Bombyx mori: one gene and its partner. The protein of the gene in region 2 purifies or fractionates together with the protein of the main gene of each other region. This does not show direct contact. Links are inferred from orthologs where the notes say so. Each region holds a gene or a part of one and is shown on either strand. Other genes may lie near its edges.

Evidence for each region. The genes of interacting proteins can lie anywhere in the genome.
Region 1: the proteins of squamous cell carcinoma antigen recognized by T-cells 3 (region 2) and U6 snRNA-associated Sm-like protein LSm8 purify together in Homo sapiens (affinity purification with mass spectrometry; 4 studies listed by BioGRID and IntAct, counting the BioPlex papers as one, with this or other methods). This does not show direct contact. The link is inferred for Bombyx mori from reciprocal best matches to the Homo sapiens genes SART3 and LSM8.

The regions. Positions count from the first base shown.
Region 1 is NC_085112.1:10,370,140-10,373,470, forward strand, and holds U6 snRNA-associated Sm-like protein LSm8, read left to right. Parts: upstream 1-2,027; 5' UTR 2,028-2,136; coding exon 2,137-2,427; 3' UTR 2,428-2,455; downstream 2,456-3,331. UniProt on the Homo sapiens protein: Plays a role in pre-mRNA splicing as component of the U4/U6-U5 tri-snRNP complex that is involved in spliceosome assembly, and as component of the precatalytic spliceosome (spliceosome B complex).
Region 2 is NC_085122.1:6,462,046-6,466,208, reverse strand, and holds the end of squamous cell carcinoma antigen recognized by T-cells 3, read left to right. Parts: intron 1-157; coding exon 158-390; intron 391-1,075; coding exon 1,076-1,255; intron 1,256-2,178; coding exon 2,179-2,341; 3' UTR 2,342-3,090; downstream 3,091-4,163. UniProt on the Homo sapiens protein: U6 snRNP-binding protein that functions as a recycling factor of the splicing machinery. Promotes the initial reassembly of U4 and U6 snRNPs following their ejection from the spliceosome during its maturation.

The DNA.
Region 1 (3,331 bases), on a different chromosome or scaffold from region 2:
CATCCATTTGTGAGGTGCAGAATCATGACGCTGCTTATTTATAAATAAATGTTCCGAACTGTTTGCATAAAATGATGTCCTGCAATTCTGGCGTTTTTTCTTAAACTTGTGCACTTACACAAAATCTAAACGATTAACTGGCCATTCATTCATTCACGTTTGTAACTAAAAATAAACCATGATGTCAAGAAGAAAAGAAACACGTCCTTTTTAATAGCTCTAAATGGGTATCCTAACACAGTGATCACCTGATAATAAGTGGTTACCGGAACTTATAGATAGCATGGATACTCCTACTAATTCTAAAACAGAGATCAGTGTGAATCTAAATTACAATGGCTAGCGCACGTCTCATACTTCTGCTATTAGTACTACCGGTAAAAAATAAAAATAGGGAATATTAAAACTAAACCTATAACCCGACACCATTTTACTTTGTGAAAGCGTGCTACATCAATTCTGAATACTGACATACGAATAATACATAAATACAATAGCGATGTAGTTTCTCTGCTGAAACGGTGACTAACATCTAAACATTAGTACCTAATTATCAATGTCGTAACTCGACACTTGCCATATATTCATACTATTAATAGTAAGTATTGCGAAAAATAAGTTATTGCTTGTGTCTTGTGACTTGTTGTCCACAATATTGTAGAGAAGCATTACTCGGTAATATGTTGCACAGTGTATCACAGCGGTCGGGGAACTTTTTTAATTATTACCCCAAAATATATTTTTTTAAGTTGGTTGGTTGGGTAATTACCCCATGGCGAAGAACAAAAAAAATATGAAATCGCTTCTTTTTAGTATCTTTCATATTATAGCCCCGATGATAATTTTCAAAAGAAAAAACTAAAAATTTAATTTAAGCATCATTTATTCAATTTATCAATGTAATACATAGTAATACATAACGGTAATAATAGTAATATCTGTAATATACAGTTGAGGAAAAAAAATCACCCCCACAGAGAATATAAGTAATTGATAATTTCTTGTTATTTTATAATTCACACGATGCCTACAATAAAATACCTGGGTCAATCACGTGAACTTTGTGTTTCCAAATAATGTGTTCTATCTCATTCTCTCGCCGGCTGAATCCTATATATTTATGTGTTTGTGTCTCTATGGACTTATTTTTCGTTTCGTTTAATTTCGTTTCATCGAATTTGAAATCACAACGATTCTAAAGAAGCTTCACTTCAATATATACTTTTTACTCACAAAAGTTTCATTTTTACGCCCCAAAATTTCATTTTAGGTAATTTACCCCGGTTCCCTGGCTGCTGGTGTATCATAATAATTTGTGAATATATGATCCGTCAGATCTTTTCTACCCAATTTACACGCTTTATATTAACTTCACTTGTATGTATGTTTGCAACTGACTCCTTTAGACGCGATTTTGACCCACTTTAAACGGCCAGAATTCATTCAAACTTTGTAGATTTATCGAGGACCGATAAAAAAATACTAATTTGATAAGATTATTCCATTATTCAATTTATAAAATAAGATTTTGGTCAATTTATATAATTTTTATCTATACTCGATAAGGCAGGAATTGATGTTAATGTACTTAATAGTTTTAAAAATACGCTTTTAAAGAAAATTTAAAATACATAATAGTTTAAAAAACTAAAAAAGACACTTTATATAAAATTCAACTAAAAAATTAAAATAAATTTTAATAAATTTAAATTGAAAATAGTGTAAAATATATTTTATTTAAAAAAAAGAGTGGGGTGCTTTTTAAGATATTATTGAAATAATAATTCTTCTACTCATATCTGTCAGAAAAATATTTATAACTAATAACACCATGCACCCCATGCTTTTTTTACAATAAAATATATTTTACACTATATTCAATTTAAATTTATTAAAATTTATTTTCTATTTTTTTAGTTGAATTTTAGATAAAGCGTGTTTTTTATTTTTTTAAACTATTATTTATTATGTAGTAATCATGTAGGTAGTAATAGTAATTGTAGTAGCTATTATACTAATCTGTGTAGGTACACATTTCAAATAATAATCTGTGGCAGCTCCCTGAAATTTGAAAATTTCTTATAGTTGTTTGATGTTGATTATTACTAATTTGAATTTATAAATAAAATAATTAGAATGGCTTCTGGACTCGAAAATTACGTGAATCAAACAGTGTCGGTAATAACTTCGGATGGACGTAATTTTATTGGCACCCTTAAGGGCTTTGACCAAACAATAAATATTATTTTAGACGAATCTCACGAAAGAGTGTTTTCCTCCACAAGTGGCGTCGCTCAAGTAGTACTTGGACTTCACATAATCAGAGGAGACAATGTGGCAATAGTCGGGCAAATAGACGAGTCAATTGATAGCAGATTAGACCTCGGAAACATCAAGGCAGAACCACTTGGACCAATGGTACATTAGAACTAGTTAATAAATGTTTTGTTATCAATCGGTGTTTCATTTGGGCAAATAAATATCATATTTTGTATTCGTCTCTTGTCTTGATTTACTAATTCGCAAAGCAGAATACATATTTTCACCCATAAAAATTAATCTTAGCCCTGGCTTGGGTTTTCCATTCTCTGAATAGGATTTGTGATAGCATGCCCTGTAATACCTGTTAGAATAGACAACACCCTGGATATATGTTCATTTCTTTGAACATAATCCTTAGGAAGTTACTTATGATGCCTATTGTAAACTACCAAATTAAGGGTTATATGTTTTACTCTTTCACAAAATACACATGAAGGTTCAAATACATTAAATCCCTGTATAATATATTCACAGGAATCAAAAATATTCATAGGTACTAAAAGAACCTTATTTCTCATTTGCTAATGGGTCTCATCACAATCAGCTCAGTTAGCCTGTTACCAACACAATTTTTTTAATGTGTTTGTGCTCTAGTAACTGGCATATAAATAACCGTTTTAGAATAAGCATAATAGCATTTCTTTTAATCGGCAAAGCCAAATAAACAAGAAAAAGATGCTTGAATTTTTTATTTTAATCGTGTCACAAAAAATGTTTTAGCATTGGTAATTATTTCATTGGAAAAATCACATTCCATTGATTAAATAAAAAGGAGCAAGCCTCATTAATTACATAATTAAGAGAACAAATTCCGTAAAAACGGATACATATTCCTTTCAGTCTGTTTTAGGAAACTTCAAAATTATGCACACTACTCATATTCTGAATACCCAGAGGTCATTCATTTATTCATCTATTGTAAGTTTGTCAAATTACATGTATGCTTGTTTTTACCAGTTTGTTGTTACATAATATATATGTTTAATTATAATTCAATTGTTATTTGTTT
Region 2 (4,163 bases):
GTGTTGAGAGCAGGTACAGTGGTTCTCCCTATTTCTGCCGCGAATCGATCACGTGCTTTAAAGATCGAAGCGGCAGTTTGTACAAATCGATAGAGATGAACTAACGCATCGATCCTTAGTTTCGCAGCACTATAATCCGAAATGTTTTATTCGACAGGACTCAGTGGAGGAGGCTCTGAAGCACGATCGAACTCCTTTAGACGGCAGACCGATGTTCTTGTCTCGATACTCGGCCGATAAATCTAAGGCGACCTTCAAATACGCTACCACGATGGAGAAGAACAAGTTGTTCGTGACGGGCCTGCCTTACTCGCGCTGCAATAAGGAGTGTTTGACCGAAATATTCGAGAAGTACGGCAAACTGAAAGACATCCGGGTGGTCACTTTCAAGTGAGTATACACGTCATCGTCTAACATAGTGCTCTCTCTGTCTAGCACGAATCTAAAACGATTAGTGTCACGAAAGGAATTTATCGATTTTTTTTTAACCTACCTATAAGCTGATAAGCCTTTAGAAGCTATTTCAACTTTACTAGCGTGTAGGTGAGCTCAAGGGACTCAGACCGGAGATGTTGCTAACACTAACCCCAGCAAGAGCCGTGCTTCGCAGAATCTCCCATCGGATCGGAAACGCGACCCACTGAGAAGATTCGACGAGAAACTCAGAGGGCTGTGTCGCTTGCGACGAAGGGCTCGGCGAGCGAATTAACCCCTTCGTCGCAAGCGACGGGTTCGACGAGCGAATTAACCCGCAGACATAGCCCTCTGAGTTTCTCGTCGGATCTTCTCAGTGGGCCAGCTAATGACGTGTTTTGGGCACATTTCATAATAAAAGCATTAAATGAATGATAATTTTTACTAAAGTATATTTCGTTATTGGTGACCAACGTTGATTTACAAAAGAAATTCGTAAGACACTTTTTTACTACTCTATTTGAGAGGCGAGTTCATGAGCCTACGAGCTCCTGGTATTAAAACGGTCAAACCGAAGACATCAGGAGGTTTAGAGACCTCGCTCGCTCTGAGGTCGTAGTTTACAAAACACAGTTTGTTAATGAAATGACAATTATTCCAGAGACGGGAAACCGAAAGGTTTGGCGTACGTCGATTACGAGGACGAAGATTCCGCGGCCAGAGCCATAGCGGCGACGAACGGCACGACGGTGGGGGACAGGAAAATAGAGGTCGCGATCAGCCAGCCCCCGCCCCGCGCCGCCCGCCCGACCCCCGCCAGCCGCCCGCCCGCCGCCGGCATGTGAGCACACGCTTGTCACTTATGGCCATTTCGCGAAAGCGACACGACACGAGACGAATCCGTAGATACTGAGAATGAATCTATTTCTAGAAGACTTTTTTTCCCTACCTAAGCTGAGAGCCTTGAGAGGCTATATCAGCGTAGCCTTAACTAGTAGGTGAGCTCACGGGGCTCAAACCTGATGACGTTGCTAACACGAACCCTAGCAAGAGCCGTGCTTCGCAGAATCTACCACCGGATCGGAAACGCGACCCACTGAGAAGATCCGGCGAGAAACTGAGTGGGTGTGTCTGAGGGTTAATTTACTCGCCGAGCCCTTGGTCGCAAGCGACGGGTTCGACGAGAACGATGACCGGTGCTTGATTAAAACACCTATGTTGTTATTAATTTGTTTGGGATAAACTAGGTTTTTTTTCGAAAATTTGTTCGTTATTTTGATGTACTTTGTGATGATTGGTCTCTTTTAAAATGAAAACTTTATCAGGCGGATCCCATAAATAGAAAATAGATTTCGATTTGTTTCACGAAAATAAACCATTAGGTGAAAGCAACAACACTGAAATGACAATAGCAAATCAAATTATAACATAAAAAAAAGAAAAAAAGCTAGAGAACAAAATTCAGTCTTATCTCTTGCACTAACAAACTTTGCTGGCAGTGACGTCATGGCGTCCTGGTTTCGCCACTGTGGGATTGATATTCCCTCTTGAACCAATGTTCAACTTTCGTAATATGTTATTTCACAATTTACTACATCCTAAAAGAATCAATTTTTGATGTTCTTTCTATTTTAAATTTCGAACAACATTTTTCAAGTAAAAAAAAATTCAACATGACCGCTGAATTCATATTAAGATAATTAAAATTTTGTTAGTAAACCATAGGTGAACTATAATGAAATCTTTTGTAATTTTTTGTTAAAGGCGGCGGACGCAGCTAAGCTTCCTTCCTCGAGTTTTGCAGCAAGCCTCAACGAGCAAGGAGTCTTCGACAAACAGCCACGCCAACGGCACCGAGAAGCGACCTCTCTCTAATAGTGACTTTAAAAAAATGATTGCGTCATCTTCTTCTTCTCACGACAATTGAATCATAACATCACATTATTTTTAGGATTCATTTAAGTAATAAAAACATTCTCAATAATATCTTAATCTTAATTAAATTCTATCCTCGGTTTCAGCTTTAGTATACATTAAAATTTGATTCAAAAGTTTAAAATGAATCTATTTCACGGTCCGTCTGACGTTTTAAAGCTACGTAACCGCACGTGAATCGCTAATTACAGTGAATGCGATTTGTTTTGTGTAGATATTTTGCTTGCGGCTCACGTATATATGAGAATTAAAAGAGGGACAGACTAAATCGAATGTTATCTTTGATAATGTATGATAGAAGTTTGAATGATCGATAAAGGTGATTTACATTTGCGTTTTCTGATTAAGTGAATGTACATACATATATATCTATGAAAAATATTATAAATGTCGCATGCATTCTACAACGTCTCTCTGTGCTTCATTGTAAAATGTTCGATTTACGATATTACGTCGATGTATTTAAAAATACATTGACGTAATATCGAAGTCTGTCCCTAAATCGGCTTATAAATTTAAAAAAAAAGACTGTTGTGTTATTTTTGTTAAAACGATATTATCGTTGATTTGTGAATTGCAGGTCAAATGCAGTAGGCGAAAGTAGAAAACTATTTAAATTAAAACGTTTACTCAACTGAAGATGTGATTGTCGTTGTCTCATCTCAGTGAAATCTATTAATGTAAGTTAGTGTTAATATGTGAGTGTATTCGAAGAAAGTGAATAAAGTACTTGTTTTATTATTAGACAGTTTTATTTCAGTGAGTACTTGGGTGCTTGGTTATAACAATGACTTGTCGAAGTCGTCGTGGCCTAACGGATAAGACGTCCGGTGCATTCGTGTTGAGCGATGCATCGGTGTTCGAATCCCGCAGGCGGGTACCAATTTTTCTAATGAAATACGTACTCAACAAATGTTCACGATTGATTTCCACGGTGAAGGAATAACATCGTGTAATAAAAATGAAACCCGCAAAATTATAATTTGCGTAATTACTGGTGGTAGGACCTCTTGTGAGTCCGCACGGGTAGGTACCACCGCCCTGCCTATTTCTGCCGTGAAGCAGTAATGCGTTTCGGTTTGAAGGGTGGGGCAGCCGTTGTAACTATAATTGAGACCTTAGAACTAATATCTCAAGGTGGGTGGCGCATTTACGTTGTAGATGTCTATGGGCTCCAGTAACCACTTAACACCAGGTGGGCTGTGAGCTCGTCCACTCATCTAAGCAATAAAAAATAAAAAAACTTTGTTTCTGTGGTTGATTTGCAAAAGCTTGCTGTTCTACACATCTAGTGCTTTAATTAATATTGTTTGTTTTTATATAAACATAATTCTTTGTGTATTTCTGTAACTGACCTCCTAGAAATGGATTTTACTGTTTTGTTGTTTGAGTGCGACCTGTGCTCAGTGCGTGTTTTTTAACGTTCTCGATAGCGTAAAAGTTAACTCAAATTTGTATGAAGTTGGAACATGACTAGTAGAAAACGTGAGCAAACGTTCCAACTCCATACAAATTGAGACCGTCAGCGCAAAAGTGGCCTAAGCTTACCGTAGTTATTATGGAGGCAATTAGGTTTGAATTTTCATGAATTTGAATTTGAGTAGGCAAAAAAACAATACGCGCAAAAATAATGTTTACAAAGCTATGTGTTATCTATGGGTGAGAAACTATGGATAGGCCGATTTTGCATCAAAATTTATTATATTTTAAATAAATTTCAATATACGTCATATAAAGGGTCACTTTTGCGCTGATGGCCTCAATTCAAGTTAACTTTACGCTATCGATAATGTTGAAAAACTCGCACTAAGCAC